Nothobranchius furzeri: one gene and its partners. The protein of the gene in region 2 purifies or fractionates together with the protein of the main gene of each other region. This does not show direct contact. Links are inferred from orthologs where the notes say so. Each region holds a gene or a part of one and is shown on either strand. Other genes may lie near its edges.

Evidence for each region.
Region 1: the proteins of nup214 (region 2) and nup62l purify together in Homo sapiens (affinity purification with mass spectrometry; 5 studies listed by BioGRID and IntAct, with this or other methods). This does not show direct contact. The link is inferred for Nothobranchius furzeri from reciprocal best matches to the Homo sapiens genes NUP214 and NUP62.
Region 3: the proteins of nup214 (region 2) and ran purify together in Homo sapiens (affinity purification with mass spectrometry; 3 studies listed by BioGRID and IntAct, counting the BioPlex papers as one, with this or other methods). This does not show direct contact. The link is inferred for Nothobranchius furzeri from reciprocal best matches to the Homo sapiens genes NUP214 and RAN.
Region 4: the proteins of nup214 (region 2) and nup88 purify together in Homo sapiens (affinity purification with mass spectrometry; 6 studies listed by BioGRID and IntAct, counting the BioPlex papers as one, with this or other methods). This does not show direct contact. The link is inferred for Nothobranchius furzeri from reciprocal best matches to the Homo sapiens genes NUP214 and NUP88.

The regions. Positions count from the first base shown.
Region 1 is NC_091754.1:20,876,565-20,880,812, forward strand, and holds nup62l (nucleoporin 62 like), read right to left. Parts: upstream 2,638-4,248; 5' UTR 2,447-2,637; coding exon 1,004-2,446; intron 924-1,003; coding exon 765-923; 3' UTR 586-764; downstream 1-585. Other genes in the region: pdk1 (pyruvate dehydrogenase (acetyl-transferring) kinase isozyme 1, mitochondrial), read left to right, coding at 3,436-3,544. UniProt on the Homo sapiens protein: Essential component of the nuclear pore complex. The N-terminal is probably involved in nucleocytoplasmic transport.
Region 2 is NC_091746.1:57,168,799-57,173,156, forward strand, and holds the start of nup214 (nuclear pore complex protein Nup214), read left to right. Parts: upstream 1-1,355; 5' UTR 1,356-1,497; coding exon 1,498-1,539; intron 1,540-4,358. UniProt on the Homo sapiens protein: Part of the nuclear pore complex. Has a critical role in nucleocytoplasmic transport.
Region 3 is NC_091741.1:91,737,773-91,741,948, reverse strand, and holds the start of ran (GTP-binding nuclear protein Ran), read right to left. Parts: upstream 2,997-4,176; 5' UTR 2,130-2,996; intron 1,637-2,129; exon of another isoform or gene 1,418-1,636; intron 1,295-1,417; 5' UTR 1,282-1,294; coding exon 1,237-1,281; intron 1,099-1,236; coding exon 1,014-1,098; intron 72-1,013; coding exon 1-71. Other genes in the region: ndufs8b (NADH:ubiquinone oxidoreductase core subunit S8b), read right to left, coding at 4,131-4,176. UniProt on the Homo sapiens protein: GTPase involved in nucleocytoplasmic transport, participating both to the import and the export from the nucleus of proteins and RNAs. Switches between a cytoplasmic GDP- and a nuclear GTP-bound state by nucleotide exchange and GTP hydrolysis.
Region 4 is NC_091753.1:46,764,484-46,768,721, reverse strand, and holds nup88 (nucleoporin 88), read right to left. Parts: upstream 2,952-4,238; 5' UTR 2,921-2,951; coding exon 767-2,920; 3' UTR 425-766; downstream 1-424. Other genes in the region: psmd8 (26S proteasome non-ATPase regulatory subunit 8), read left to right, coding at 3,028-3,132, 3,879-3,951, 4,037-4,139, 4,236-4,238. UniProt on the Homo sapiens protein: Component of nuclear pore complex.

The DNA of each region.
Region 1 (4,248 bases), on a different chromosome or scaffold from region 2:
TGAAGCTCTTATTTTTAGCAGATTCTGCAAATTAGGACAAACTGTAGTCCATTTTTATATTTGTGACATGGCTGTTTAATTTCCTGGGAATTTTTTACTGTAGAAATGGTGAATTGTATTTTTTAACATTGTATTAGAATGAAAATCTCAAAGTGTTTTGCAACATACCTGTGAGGTTGGCCAACATGTTCTACTACCTTATCTGGAGCTGTTAAGAAAACCAATGCTTCTGCTTGTCAGTGCGCCCCAGGGCAGCTGTGGCTACATCGTAGCTCATCACCATCAGTGTGTGAATGGATGAATGATACACTGTAGTGTAAAGTGCTTTGGAGTCCTTACTCTGAGAGGTGCTATACAAGTGCGGGTCATTTATCATTTCTTGCACCCGCCTCCTTGTGTTTTTACATCTAATCTAGGGCTCAGGTAGAATTAAGCAGCTTGTAGATCATTACTGAGACAAATTACAGTTAAAGCTCTAAAATGATTAAGTAATTTAGATTATTTCAACTCAAAAAGTCTGGTAGATCTTTCATGTTTCAGATTAGATGTGAGAATTAGAGTCATGACACACCACATCAGGCTGAATGAGATCCACTGCAATTGTTTTATTTAATCACACTACCCAGAACATTTAATATGATCAATTAACTTTATAAAGAACTATTGAGAAAATATTTATCTTAATAAAACCAAAACAGAAAGTGAAATGAGTAAATCCAAACAAAAGAGCATAATGTTTATGCAGAGTTAAACTCATCAACAGATCAGTCAAAGGTTAAACGAAAGCTCTTCTCCTGCTCCTTGCGTTGGGTGTCGCAGAGTTTAGACACTTCTTCCACTCTTCTCTGCAGGAGAACCGAGTTCTGGTCGATCCACTGCAGCGAATCCATGTGGGCGTTGAGAATTTTACAAATCTGCTGGAGCTAAAACAGAGAGAAAGAGATGAATGAAAAAGGCAAACATCATAATGACAGGTTTAAGGATGACTTAGATCTGATCTTACTGGGTCACTGGAGTCAGCTGGGCCGCTGGATGTGTTCAGGTGCTCAATTATCTCCTTCAGGTCCTGAGACATCCTCTTCAGCTGTGCGTCTACGTTCTCAGCGAGCTTGTATGTTCTCTCACGCTCCTCATCGGCATTCTGCATGTAGATGGTTCCGCTCTGCTCCTTCACGGACTCCTCCAGCGGACACAGCAGGTCCTCCAGCTCCTTCTGCTGGGACAGGATGAAGTCCAGCTCCTGGTTCAGCCTCCTCTGGTCCAGCTTCACCTTCTCCAGCTCCTTGTGCAGGGATGTGATCTTCTCTCCGTTCTCCACCAGCATGCGGTCCCAGGCATTCACCTGAGTCGCTTGCTGTAAGAAATGTCTTTCTTGGTCCTCCAGCTCAAGACTCCACTTGTTTATGAGGCTCTCCAGCTGGGCATAGGTCATCACAGGAGGAGCAGTGGTGGTGGTGGTGCCGATTGTTGTGGCTGTTGTGGTTGTGCTTGTGGTGGATGTAGTTTTGAGTCCCAGTATGAAGCCCGTAGCTGTGCCTGTGGTGGCGGCTGCAGTTAGGATGGAGGCCGGAGCAGAGGTGGTGGTTGCTGAACTCAGAGGTTTGAGTGGGAAGGATAAGCCCCCTCCAGCTGCTGTGGTGGTTGCAGTGCTCACCGATGAAAGTGGAGCCGAAATTGGAGCTGCACCAAACATGAATCCTGGAGCTGCTGCTGTAGTGGCGGCGGTGGTGGTTATGGGTGTCGCAAACAGAGTAGGGCCTGGAGTCGGAGCCACCTGGGTGGTTGCTGTAGGGGCTGGGGTTGATGAAGGTTTAATCCCAAAGTTAAAACCTCCACCCTGGGTGGTTGGAGCTGCAGAGGCGGTGGTTGCAGGGGTTCCAAAGCTGAATCCCGCTCCTGTGGCAGCAGTGGGGGCTGCAGCTGAGGTCACCTGGACTTTGGGAGCACCAAAACTGAACCCTCCAATGGACATGCCACTTGCTGCTGTCGTGGCTGTGGGTGCTACCACTGACTGAGGCTGGACTTGTGTGGGAGCACCGAAGGTGAATCCTCCCCCGCTTGGTGCCACTGTTGCTACTGCTGGTGCAGCAGCTGGGGGCTGCGAGGTTAGCAGGCTGCCTAAGGTGAACCCTGACCCGGCAGCCGGAGTTGCTGCAGAGCCCAGACTCAACCCTGTTGCTGCCGGTGTTGTCTGAGGGGTAGCAAGAGCAAACGAGGCAGTAGGCGTGCTAAAAGACAACCCCGTGCCGCCTGCGGAACTCTTGGCTGGGGTGCCAAAGCTGAAAGAGGCGGTGGGGTTGGTCTGGTTGGCATTTCCAAAGGCGAACCCCCCTCCCGGAGCTGCTGAGCTGGTTAATGTAAAACCCGCGTTGGGGGCAGCGGCAGTGGTCTTCTGCGCTCCAAAGGCGAACCCTGCATTCTGTCCGAAGTTGAATCCGCCACTCATTATCCTCACAAGAAGTTAAACACAGCCGTTACGTGTCGTTTAAAACGGCCACTTCCTTGCCGAATCTTGTGGCTTTTGGCGGGTCGCTATGACCAACTCCTCCGACTGAAGTTCCTAAAATCCCCACTGCGTCTATTTAAGTAACTTTGCACAGATACGCAGGAAATGAATGAAATCACACGCTAATCAACGTTACCTTCCGAGGAATATAGAGCCAAAATCAATAACACATTGCTAAAAACGTGGGCCTGTGAACCGACATTTCCTTTAACAGGCAATTATCTGGCCACCTAAAGGAAGTGACGACACCCGAGACGCGGCATTCTCGTATGCCCTGAATTTTGTCTGCAGGGACATAATTCCGCCTATTAATTTATTTGGCAACTGTTTTATCCAATCAGAGTTATGATTAGATTTGAGGTACATGATAGGCTCATTTGACTGCCTGATAGACAAACATTCGGAAAAATATATAGTTTGGCCTTTACAAAGAGTATGCAAAGGCAAGATAGTTACAGAATAACGAGCACTATCAACTCTTCTTCTTTCATACACACGTGAATAAAAGACATTATTTAGGACATTATCGTGCATTTATACGTCTTTATTTTCGCAATTTACCGTCAATATTGACAATAATTTTAAATACAGCCTTTCAACAGAACTTCGTGTCGGTATACGCCAGGCAACAACGATGAATCCTCTTGAACTTTGTAGTAACTCTTTGAATTAGCTTGTTGACTTTTCTGCTTCGGTGGATTTAGCAGCGATCACTTGAAGTACACACCGGACGATACACAAACATTGCAGCGCGGCCGTAGTTATGGATGCTGAACCTGCATCAATTAGCAACGTAACTGAACAATAATAAATTTAACAGCGTGTTTGCGAGCTGCTGGGTTTGCTCAACGAGCTAGTGTCGTTAAATAACACTAAGTGTGGCTCGGAAGCCACCTGCTTCCTCCGAATAACTAGTAAACCCGGTCAACATGAGGCTTCTGAGGTTTCTGAGGAACAGCGTGTCAGTAGGGAAGGATATCGATTATTACTCCAGATTTTCTCCTTCCCCTCTTTCAATGAAGCAGTTTCTGGATTTTGGTGAGATGTATTCATATAACACTCTAGGGATGTAAAAATAATTCAATGCACTGAAATATCACAACATTTCGGTTTATGATACAGAATCGATATTTAAAAGCAGAGTATCTATTATTGAGAATTTACATGCCAACATTTCTTGTATTTCTTTTGTGTGGTGCAGATCAAACACTGACAGCTAGGTGGCAGCAGTTTCTTCCTCCTTCAGTCTGACAGACCGATATCTTGCGAAAACACTGGAATTGTCTGAGTTTTCCCAGTTAAATTCACTTAAAAATTGCAAAAATAGTCAGCCTTTTAGTATCTCAATATATCGTATCGTCTCTCCTGTATAGCAACATATTATATTGCTAGATACTTGCCAATTAACACCCAGTTTTATCTCAAACTCTTCGGTGTTTCTTGATGTCTTGGTCCTGCCCCGGTTGCCTAGGAGATACGTAATCAGGTACCGCCAAGGCGTGTTCCAATCATCATGTGCTACCGAGGTGTCTGTTCTTCGTTTGTTAGCTGTTTAGCTAGCTAAGCAAGAATACACGGGAGGTGCCTTCTTTACTGGTGGTTCCCAGAATATCTAAAATTAGGATAGGAGGCAGATCTTTTAGTTATCAGGCTCCTCTCCTGTGGAACCAGCTCCCAGCTTTAGTCCGTGAGGCAGACACCTTGTCTACTTTTAAGACTAGGCTTAAAACATTTTTATTTGA
Region 2 (4,358 bases):
TGTCATGCAAGAGTGGGCCAGTCTTGGCCTGAAGTCTGAACTCCTACCTAACTTGATAATGGACGTCAGTGCACAAGCTGACAAAAGGATCCGATCATGCAACTGTAAACTCCGATCACTGTATTGTTCTTCACAATCAGCAGGGCCTGGCCCCGGAAATCCTGGATGTTGTTTCTGCTTTCTAAAAGAATAAAATGTTAAAATGTTCATGCGCCTTCTGGCTCAAGCATGAATACTATATAATGGAAATGCAAGATGCCACTTTTGATGTTACATAAGAATCTTATCTTTCATTCCTACCATCATCTCTGCCATTATCAGTTTTAAGTTATGTAGTCGCAGAGGAGTACCTGATTTGTTTAAATGCAAAACAGAAAATTCAGCTTTCTAATAAAAGTCCTTACTTCACCTATACTGTAGTGGGTGGCTATTCCTTTTGTCTTCATTTCTTGGGGTTCCCAAAGGGGTACTGATTCAAAAAAGAATCATGCATAGGAGAAATAAAAGTTTCTGCAACTTGTAAAGTGCTTATACACAAGTACAAACTTTCCTGCAAGTGTATGTTAACAAAAGTCAGTATAACTTTATTAGACATTTAAAAAGTTTTTACCTAATTGTTTTTGTTCCCCTGAGTAGATTTCATGTCAAAAGTTAGTTATAAAAGATTTTTAAGTATTCTCAACTATTTTCATTAAAGTCAGGGAGACCAGTTGGAAAATAAAAACTTGGATATAAAAATACAACTTTAAGAATGTGAATAGTCTGATTTAAATGTTGTTTAGCATTTTTTTTAGTATGTCACTTTTATTGCATCATAACTATCCATGTTTAAAATATTTAAAACGTTTTACTTCATTAAGAACCATACGTCATACATTAGGTTGGCTAAGGCAAAGAGTAATAGCAGAAAAATAAATAAAAAGCTAAATGCTTCTTGAGTCAGTACCATAAATGCAACAATCAAAGGGGCTTAGAGCAATGCCAGCACAAAAAATGTAAACGTTTAAATTCATATATCACATTTTTAAGGTTTTTATGACACTTGTACTCTTCTATGGGAAATAAACAGGAATAAATTATGATTATAGAACTTGGATTTATGAATAAGAAACTATGCTAATTTGTACATTTATGATATGAAAACAATATATATTAACATCCTGACATACTATTTGTAAACAGACAAGACATTTTCCCGGCAAATATGATCAGAAACAAGATGCAAAAATCAGCTCTAAACACGTTTTGTTTTTATTCGGATCCAAGAGACTGGTGGGCCATCTCAGTTAGCTCTGGCATCTACTCGTCATCCTTATTTATTTATTAACTGCAAAAGGACACTCTAGCATCCACTAGTCATCCTATTTTATTTTCACACACAAAACGGCGCGGCGAGTTCAGTTGATGTAGCTCGCTCGAACTTTGACTTACATCTACGCTTTGAAGGAATAAATTAAAGCAAAACCTCATCCGGAGAATCAGAAGTTTCTGTTCGAAATGAGTGACGATACAGACTCCCCTCCTGAGAGGGAGATGAAGGTATTTACGCGGCTAGCATGTGGAAAGCTACGGCGTTGGTTAGCTTAGTAGCTTATAAGCAGCTAGCTAACTGATTGTAAAGTTATTTTGGTTTAGATTACTATAACCCCTTGTTTTTTACTGACTTAGACCATGCACATTGATAAAATGCCGAGTGATGAAAACGGAGAACTGATTACAATTTTCTCTCAAGTCCGTCAAAAGAAATTATTTTATATTCGTTTCAGTCTACGTATGTTAGCACCGCAATGTTATGCTAACGGTAACAGAGATGTCATTCAGGTCTTTTATGACAACAAATGACATCGTTTGATATTACGGTTACGTTGCACGACTATTACAATTTATTTTAGGCTATTTTATAATTAAGAATAAATACATTAAAGAAATAGTATATAAGTTGCTTTAAACGCTTGTTGTTGTCTATTTGTATGCAAATACTTTAATCAGTGCTTCCAAAAGCATAGGGAGCACCTTATATCATATAATATTGAAACAGTTTAAGGTTTGTTTTTAGAGATTTATACTCTTTAGTGAATCTCACAGGTAGGAGCAAACATGTAAACTGTACTTGAATGTATTTTAGGTGCACTATGAATGACACCCAAGATTATTATTTTTTGTTAACTCCATTTTCATTCAACTTTAGATTTTATACAAATGGACAGAAGTACAAAATACTCTAAAAAGCCACTTTAGCAAATTTAATGCAGTAACAAACCTCATTGCCAATATATTAGCACTGATATACAACTAAGAACATAGATCAAATGTAAAGTACCCAAATGTACTTAATGCAATTTTACATTTTTTTATTAAAATGTAGGAAATTGCACCTAATCGCCATTGTTATGGCAGTCATAACATTGCTAAAAGATTTGATAATGTGTGTAATTTTGTGTGCAATATCTACTTAATTGTAATGTGACACGTCAGCATTTTTACAGCTTTTTCACTGCTAGTCATTTGAAGATATCTAAACATTTTCAAATTTCAAGCGGACTGTTTTTATACTCTACTAGGGCTGTCGCGGTAACCGCAAAAATGAAATATCGCAATATGAAGAAGCCCACCGCGCTGCATCATGGACCACCGCGATTACTGAACTTGGTTCAACTCAATGATGCATGTTGAGAAGGATGGCTGCACTGGTATCAAAACGAAACGTTACTTCGCTCCTTTGGGAGCACTTTGGTTTTCAGTACGTCAGCTGCTGCACAGCCAGAGTCCTTGGCCGAGACAGAGCTGCCACCAGCGGCAAAAAAATAATAATAAACGCTCGGAGACCTGCTGAAGTCCCGGACAAGCACTGCTTCTGCAACCGTCCTGAAGAGAGTTTGAGCCGAGCTGGAGCTCACTCGCTACCTGCAGGAGGAATGCATCCACCCTAAAGAAACCCCCCTGACATGGTGGAGCAACAACCGGGAGACATTCCCTTTGCTCGGCAGAGTCGCACGCAAGTACGTGTGCGTTAGTGCAACGAACGCACCATCCGAGAGGGTTTTCAGTGTTGCTGGAAATGTTGCCACCCCTCTCAGATCCTCTCTCAAACCGTATATGGTTAACATGCTTGGTTTTCCTTGTAGGTAACAAGGACGTGACCGAGCTATAAATCACCGTCATTCGTGTGTGTGAAAGTGAAATGATAGTGCGCCCGCCCCCCGGCGCGCGCGCGCCCGGTACATGTAATTTTTTATGCTTGATTTTAAACAACTAAACAAAATGGGGACTTGTTTCTTATTTGTTAGATGCTGCAGCCAAATTTGCATTTAAAAGTTTAACCTCCTGAATTTTGTTGTTTTTAAGTTCAGTTGGACTCCGACTGTCGGAGAAACAAACGTTACTGCGATCTGTGTTGTTACTGCCCTTTGATCTGCATTCAGTAAAGCGTTATTGAAGAAGGCACGGCAATTTTTAACCTTTTTTAAATGTGTAAACATTATGTTTAGATAGTACTGCAATAAAAAAAGGGCTGCAATAATATCGCACACCGCAATATTAAGCCACCCTGAATCACCGCAGGGGGAATTCCTCAACCGCGACAGCCCTATACTCTACATAGTTTAAGAAGTTTGAGAAAATCAGCTTTCAAGCACTTAAGACAAGTTAGATAGCATCTCAGAGATGATGTTTGAATTATTTCTCCTTTGGTAGAATTAGAACTTCAACACTGACCCCACGTTGCACAACCAAACTGTAAACTTAAAGAGGTCCTTCACTAAGAAACAATTTTTACTTATTTTTTTAAATCAGTCACTCAGAGTTTAACATGCAGACTGAACGTGAAAATAGTGTCCTATTTTTTATATATCTCCTTCATTAGCTTCTGATAGAAATAGTGAAAGTCTAGAAAATAGTGAAAGTCTAGGACAGGGGTATTCAATTCCGGGCCTGGGGGGCTGGCATCTAACACGTTTTAGTTGTTTCACTGCTCCAATATACTTAATTCAATGGTTGAATCACATGTGCTGAAGCTCATCAGGCTCTGCAAATACCTGTTAATTATATGCTGATTGAAATCGGGTGTGTTGGAACGGGGTTAAACCTGCCGGATATCGGCCCTCCAGGCCCGGAATTGAATACCCCTGCTCTAGGATTTGAAAAGCCTGACAGCTCTACGTCACACTGTCGCTTACCATTCATGGATTCACCCATCTTGACTTGCAATGGGGAAGGCTGTTGTTGATTTAGTGTCCAGGAAACAGCAGAGAACATCTCAACTAGTAGAAGCTAAGTGTTAGCATTAGCAACTCCACAACAAAGCAGAACTCCTTCAGGCTTGAGTTAATTGTTGGGAATAAATATCAATGCTGCAGAGC
Region 3 (4,176 bases), on a different chromosome or scaffold from region 2:
CCAAACGTTATACTTGATGGGTCCTCTGTTGGTGTGGAACATCAGGGGATGCACTTCTACTCCTAGAGTAGCTAAAAAAAGATGCAGGAGATCAAGAAATTAATCTAAACTCACAGAGAGGGTCAAATGAACTTTAATCCTAGAATTATGATACAAGTTATAAACTAGAAAACAGATCCCAGGTGGCATAGAAATGGTAGCTTAATGCTTCTCATGAATGAATCAAACAGAATGATTTTCCCCAAGGGGATCAATAAAGTACACATTATTCATCATCTTTATGTTGAATGTTTGACATGTTAATATATTTATAATACCGGGAACAGTATTCATCCAGGATCTCCCTTCTCTCCCATTCAATTCTTTTCAATATAAATTAGGACAAAGATGTTATCTACAAGTTTAAACCCTGTATAGTTTCACAAAAAATAATGTTTGACTCATTGTTTTACCGTTTTCCATTTAAAAACATCACCAACCCAAAGCAGCTGTTAGTTGTAGAATTTCAGACATTGCAGAATGACACCAAGTTTGTTAAACTAATATATAAAAAGGTTGGTATTGCTTGATTTTCCATCTACTACAATCAGTTATGTGACTGATGCTGGAAGTCATTTATAGCTAGCTATATGGAGTAACTAGTACTTAGAATTTCTGCATTTTTGCACTCTTTGGGATTACTGAGGACAGTCATTCTTATTTGGCCTATTATTCATAGACTTGATAAGAGAATGGTTTTAAATAACATGGACATGAAATAGTTGTGTTTATCTTTCAACTACAAGAATAATAAAAACCACTTGTTTTATGAAGTAATTTCAACAAACACTAATTTCACAGGAAGACCAGAACTGTGCATTTTACACGTCTGTGTCATAAACTTGTGATGCAGCGATTTTACAATATTTTCTGTAAATGTGATGTTCTAAACATTAGTGGCAAACCTAATTTGGTAAAAACAAACACTGGGTTAGTCTTGTACAGTTTACATTTAACTTTCTCAGGTTACTCACCAACATACTTCTTCTCAAACTCTCCTGTAATGTGTCTCTTCACAAAAGTTGTTTTTCCCGTGCCTCCATCTCCGACCAACACCAGCTGTGAAGAACAGACCAGTTATCTACTGACCGGTTTGTGCTGGTACACCAGTTACCTCAGCTAAAACGCACACATTTTTGCCCTCACGCGCCATAATTAGATCATACTTAACATCATTCTTAAGAAGTAGATTCTTACCTTGAACACCGCCACAGGTACACACTGTCCCATAGAGTCAGCCATGGTTCCAAATATTCTGAAACAAACAAGGCGGGAATCTACCGTTAGTGTTATCTATACGTTGATTTAAGTTAAAGATTCTCAATAACTCAATTTGGCATTCTGGGAATATTGTTCACACGGGGCTTTGAACACGCACCATTCTGTACAGACGAGTTTACAGCTAAGGGATAACTTCTAGCATGTTCTATCCAAGCTAACGTTCCGACATGTTCAAATGCGACGTTATAATTTATGAAAGCTTGCTAACGCATCAACAAACAGCCTCTAACTGCTCTCCGGTGTGCCAAAATATAAAGTAAAACAAAGCTACCGTGCCCCCCAAAAGCCTCAGCACTGGCGGTTACCAACTAGCCTTCAAGCTAACAGGCGTTAGTTTAGTGCGCCATATGATGCCTGAGCGCACTTTTTCAGGTTCGACTGGAACAATCAGACAGTCACAGAAGCTAATGCGTTCCATGTTGCCGTCAATTTCTGGTCTAAACAAGACGCCTTCCGTAAATAACGTTAATTGCGAACAAGAAAAAATTGTGAAAACTCCCTGGCAAATATACACAAATAAGAGTAATAGGAACAAATATCCCAGAACAAAGCCGTGAAATGGAGCATTGCTGTGCTCGCTAGCCTCACAGCTAGCACAGCATGGAAGCCATTCTTCCCCGTTAGCTGGTAGCACAAAAAATGCGACGGCCTTTCCCCCTCAACTGCTGTTAAGGCTGCACATGCAAAACGACCTTAACCCAAAAGAAGAAAATAACCCAAAAAGTTTTGTTTCATTCTTAGTGACTTAAAAACAATCCAAACTTGACATTTAGGAAGGCCCTCAATTGAAGAGGAAACTAGCGACTCACCGGTGTCACTGCGAAGAGAGGAAAGAGTAAATGGCTGCGTTCGCGGCAGATTCAGCGTGGACTATGAGTCACTTTCCGCCCTGGTCACGTGGCCTCCGCAGCGCCAAAAACGCATAAAATATAGAACATGAATCAGCATCCGTCTGATATACCTTCACGATGCGCACTCCGCTGCTTTGTTCTCAAAGCAACACTTCTAGAGATTAAACCGTATATATCATGTTTTTAAAGTGTTGATCAAGACATATGGGCCCGATAAGAAGCCAGCTAGTTTTTGTTGTTCAAAGGTTTCTGCCCTTTTCTGAAAACTTCCAAGGACCTTCGGGGTTATAAATCATAAATTTGACATTTGCACTAAAAGGAGGTTTTGACAGGAGGAGCCTTTCCCAGACACCAGTGTCTTTCTGTACTTCTCTACTTCAGGAACCCCTTTCAGGCTCTCTAAAGATTACGGAGTAATGAAGGGAGGCAGATGCCCGATGATATGTGTTACTTAACTCTATAGACATTTCTGTGTTTATGTCCATGCTTTAACCCCGGCTCTTCCATTGTTTGTTCCTGTAGCAAAGTTAACACGCAGGGTTAAAGAGTGGCCTTTAAAACTCATCTGGTTTAAAAATACATAATCAATTTGTATAATTTCACCCGTAGTTCATACCTTAGTGGAAACTGCAAACCAGAGCTGACAGAAATGGGACCAAGTAATAGGTTCAAATGATTCTGGGCCTGTGTTTTATATTAGATCATGCAGTTAAATAAAACAGATCTAACAAGCTTGAAGAATTTTCCTGAAAAACATGTTATGACTGTTGATGAGGCACAAAAGAAGCAGAGAGAATTAAAACTAATTTGTACTCTTTTTAAATTACATTATTAAACTGCTATGACATTTTTCAAGTTGTGATTGCACTTAAACTAGCTGTTAGCTCATCAATCCTGTTGAATGTTTCAGTCCATTCAGAAAGCTAAATAAAATAGTAATTACTTATATCCTTTATATAAAAATACACTTCAAACTGGTCAAAACAATTCTGTTGAGGTTGAAATCAGAAGCTGCAGGTATGCTTCACTCCCAATTCTCCAACTAATCTAACACCAGCCTAGGTTTAAAATATGGTTTATTTAATTACCCTCAGTTGTTCTGGAGAAGCATTACATTGAAATGTTCAACTTAAAAACAATAAAAAATGTTTTAATGTGTCTGTAAATATCAGTGAGTAAAAACAAATGAATTCAACACATGAACAGTTCAAACTAACCCAATCCTACAACAAAACAAGCCAAACAGTGCCTGACCAACAAGAAAGCTCCCAACCTGTTCTAGCCAATGGCAAAAGAGCTGTAGTATTTAACCCTGGCTGATCCACTGAGTAGAAAACATTCTGTGGATAAGGAATAGTCGAGTCAGTTGGAGACAGGTCAAATCATTACCGCATGAGACCATCATTAGGTTAAAAACTGCCATATATCTAAAATAACGAAAGATAAAGAAAATTTTGCAAAAATGCTTACTAAGTAGAACTCGAGGGAATAGTGAAATGATTTCCAGAAACACATTATAAGGACTAACCAATGTAACCAGACTAAACAGCCGTTTAGCTCAGAGAGACACGCATTACTGAGGATATAAACCTCAGTTAGATGGGAAGCAGCAAGACTGATTCCTGACAACAACAGGATCTAAATGATTTAAGATGTTATTTTTCTAATAAAGGATTAACCAACAGAGCCACCCCCCCCCCCCAGTCATAAATACAAGATGAAAATTTAAGTTACTCAGTTAAGTTTTATGATTTACAGAAAAAGCTCAACAGTGAAGGTGTGCCTATAAAAAAGCTTTTAGAACAACTTTTGTTAGATTTGTTTATTTTTGTTTATGGCCAGTTAATGTATGATTACTGGGCTTGCTTCAAAATGAGCATTTTAACTCCACAACATGTAGCTATTTCTATAATGTACATAAGCATGATGCCAAAATGGTTTGTTTTTACAAGAAGTGGTTTATCTGTACAAATAGTCTGCCTGTATATTGGCTGCTATCTCAGGC
Region 4 (4,238 bases), on a different chromosome or scaffold from region 2:
AATACTAGATTTTGAAGTTATTTAAATTTATTTTATTTTTTTTAGCAGATTAAAAAAAATCTGTCATAACCTGACAGATTTGACAGTCTACATTTAAAGGAATTTTTTTCAAAAATCAACAAATTTTTTCATGTCAGAATATTGAAAATAAAAATGATTCTACAAGAAAAGCATCTCTTAACCATATTTACTTGTGTTCTAACAACATATCAAATCTGCTGGAGATTTTAAGTGTTTAACTTTTCTTATCTTTACTTGGACTTTAAAATCGCAGACCTATAGCGGCAGCAAAGCTCAGCACAATCATGTATTCATCCAGTTAAAAAATCACATTCTATCAAAACTGTAACTTTTTTTTAAATTTAATTTGGTTTAATTATTTAAAAGTTTAACTGCTAACGCTCTGTAAATAGTCACAGCCACAGAAAGCATTGACATTTATTTAAAAGTTGAAAAACGATGTCAAAAATAGACGTGTAGTACACAGTTGAGTTGAAAACATGTCTTTAGAGAGCATAAACATTTATTTTTGTATTTTTAGAACAGCCTGAACAAAGAAAACCCAACAGTAAGCCTGCTGTTCTCCACTTAAACAACATTTTTAAAGATTTTTTTGGGTGGAAAACATTTATCTTTCACGTCTGTCTCACGCTCCTAAAAGATAAAGCACTCGTAACTTTTCACTAAATGCTAGAAAACATGAAACTTTGACCAAAAACATAAAAGTTACTTCCTCCAACAGAAAATGTCTGCGTCTCAAAGGAGATTAGAAGTTGAAGTGGTTTTTGATGTCTTTGATCTGCTTCATCATGTCACCGATTTGCTGTCCCTGCTCTCTCAGGACGTCCTGAACAACCTTCTTCTGTTGAGCGTTGAGTGACACTGTCATCCTAGCTGAAGACATGTCCTTGTCCACTTGTTTCTGCTGGTACTCCATCTTCATGTTCACCTGCCGGATGCAATTATCCAGGTGTTTTAGCTGATCGTTGATGGTCTGCAGCTCCTTCTTCATGTCCTTCTCACTGTTGGACAGGATGGGCAGTTGGCTTTGCAGGCTGCACAACACCTTCTTAACTCGGTTCATGATGGTTTCTTGGCGATACTTGGCATCTTCGTACTTATCAGCCAACCTCTCTGCCGCCTCTCTCAGAGTCTTCTTCTCCTCTCTGCACAGAGTGAACTCCTCCTGCTGCTTGTTCTTCTGCTCTCGCAGAAGCTTCACCCTCCTCTGCATCTCCTCGCAAGCCATGTCCTGCTTTAGAATGTACTCCTCGCGGAAGACCTGTGTGGCCCTACTGAGAAGCTGCAGACACTCTGCAGGTGGAGGTGATGTGTCCTTATCGCCTGCCTTTAGCACAAGGGGATTAGTGGAGCCACGTGTCAAAATGTTGCGGATATGCTGCTCGAAGGAGTCGTTGGCGAGCCCACGCAGAGGTGAGCTGATGGAGCCAGGAACTGGGTGGGAGCAGAGCAGTGGAGGGGAGGGTGGACGGATGGAGCTTAGAAGGGGCAACATGATGCACTCGAACATGGCAGTGACGCAGATCATTGTGGCGCCCAAGGAAAGGTCGGAGACTATTAAAAAGCCACGAACCGGAGCCGACTGGCTGGTTAGCAGCGGTCTGGTGCAGAGAATGTGCTCCACGATGCAGCGCTTCTCTGCAGCCAGCTCCTGGAGACTGTCCTTGTCCTCCTCGCTGGACTGAAGAAACTTCTGCATTTTGTTGACCCATATGAGCCCAACACTGTGAACTCCGGCTTCGTGGGTGCAGTGGTACCTCTGCTGACACAGGGGGTCTTGGTGCAGACGAATTGGACAGGTGAAATCCAACTCTTGAGGCTCTTCGTCTTCCCTTGAAGCTACTTTGAGAGTGAGCTCAAGCTCGACACATTCAAACACGTAAAGAGCCGGTACCGCCTCTGTGCCTCGGATCCACTTCTCCACAGCCCCTGCCTCGTCTTCCTCCTCAGACTCCAGCACTACGCAGTGATACAGAGTCCCCGTCTCTGTGGCGATCACCAAGATGCTGGGGGCACACTGCAGGCACAGGATGGCACAGGCGTCATAGCCATAGTTATCCTCGGCTGCCGGATACATAGGGAGGGGTCCAGCCGGTTTACTCACACTCAGACCGTTCGTCTGACCAGCGTAGCTCACGTAGGTTTCCCCGTTTTCATACAAAACGTACAGAGGGTAAACCAGCTGATTTTTGGGAATCTGGGCTGCCACCTTTCGAGGAGGGGATGAAACCGGCCCAAAGTCAAAGGCCACAGCTATCTCTCCCAGAGATGCAGCATAGGACCGAACCGGATGCTGTGAGCTGCAGTCATCCTCTGACTGCGACAGCTGCAGAACTTTAGCCGGCGTCTGAGGCGACTTCAGACCGTAAAACCTGATGGTGTTGTCTGATGTGAGCAACACAACATGGGGCTCGTCGGTCTCGCTCGGGTACCACGCAGCTTGTCGCAGACTCACCGACGGTGAACTGCTGAAGAAGCGTTCCGCCACCGGGATGGTCTTGCAGTTGATTTTGTCCCGTCCTCCTTCAAACTCGGACCTCTTGCCCCATCGCTGAGGGAGCTCCAGAACCGAAATGCCCCGCTGTCCGACCAGCGCGACGTGATGCTGCACTGGGCTCACATACACCTGGCACACATCGAACAGAGGAGGGTTGATGCAAAGCAGCGTCTGAAACTTCCCGCTTTCACTATCAGAGTTCAGCTGCCTCAGGTTGGTCGTGTAAAAAACGCGTTCAGCGTTGTCCCACACGAAAAAGTCCCCGCCCAGACAAAACGTAAGATTTTTAGCGACTTCTCTTTCATTTGACCTGGATTCCAAATCCAGCGTCTCTCGTAGTTTTCTGAAAATTGTGTGGTTTGGCAAGTTGTTCAGCCACCGTTCTGCGCCGAAGGCCGCCATCTTGATCAAATGTGGGACTGGTGCCGTCTCAAGAGGGAGCTATGGTAACGGGTGTTTCACGACAGCCGTTAAACGGGAGCCAATGTCGAACATTTTGCAGAATCACCATGGCGTTGAAAGAGACTGCTGGGTTGTATGAGACTCTAAAAGCTGAATGGAACAAGAAAAATCCAAACCCGAATAAGTGTGGAGACCTTTTGAGCAAGCTCAAGGTGACACGTTTGTTAATGTTTTCGTTGTTAATTTTTTAAACCGTACAAGTTGAATCTGTAACACGTCCTACTCTCAAACTATAGTGGTATTAGCAAACGTAGCTCAGTACGCTAACAGCCTAGCTAGGCTAATTCGATGTTCTAAAGCGCCGTATACGTTTAATGAGGGATTACTGTTTACATGGTTTATGCTTTTATTTGAGTTTTAATTATTCGGATATACATTGCAGTTTGCGTTATTAGACATTTTCATAGTTTTGAGCTTTTTAAGCGACAGTCTCTGAACACGGATCATTTGTTGTAGCTAACGTTAGCATCAGTTTTACATTGACATTCATCTGGATACTTTTTAATATAGTTTTTATTTATCTTTATTTAACAACTATTGTCAGACAGTTCGTTAGAATGACTGTAAATGTTATATCTAATGTTAATTTGTACTGAATTCTGGTGGAAATGCACCCAATCAACAAAGTACTTACATAAAGTACTATTTAAATAAGTTTTTAAGCAATGCATTAATCTTTATACAGATATTTATGTCAATCTGAAATACAGATGTACAGCAGTTTCATTCTCTTGTTGATTCTGGTCATACTTTCACTTGCATCTTTGTCAAATAATTAAGAGATGACAATGAATTATATTTATTATTCTGTTACTACCCACACATGTCACTGTCATCTAACCGAAAAGTGCTTCTCTGATCCACTTTTCTTTAATTATTTTATTCCCTGTTTTTACAGGTTTCTCTACTGGAGCTGAATTTTTTACCTACCAAAGGATCTGGTATCACCAAGCAGCAGCTTATTTTAGCTCGTGAGTAAAACCTATTCAGACGTTATTAGTAATGCCTGTATAGTAAAACTGTACATGTGTAACTTCAAACTTATGGTGTTTCCAGGCGATGTCCTTGAGATCGGAGCTCTGTGGAGCATCCTCAAGAAAGACATTCCATCTTTTGAGAGATACATGGCTCAACTGAAATGTTACTACTTTGATTACAAGTAATACACTTTTTTGTGTGCTGTGAACATTTTATACCTAATGGTTTCTTTTAACATACTTTTGTGTGTGTGTGTGTGTGTGTGTGTGTCATCTAGAGA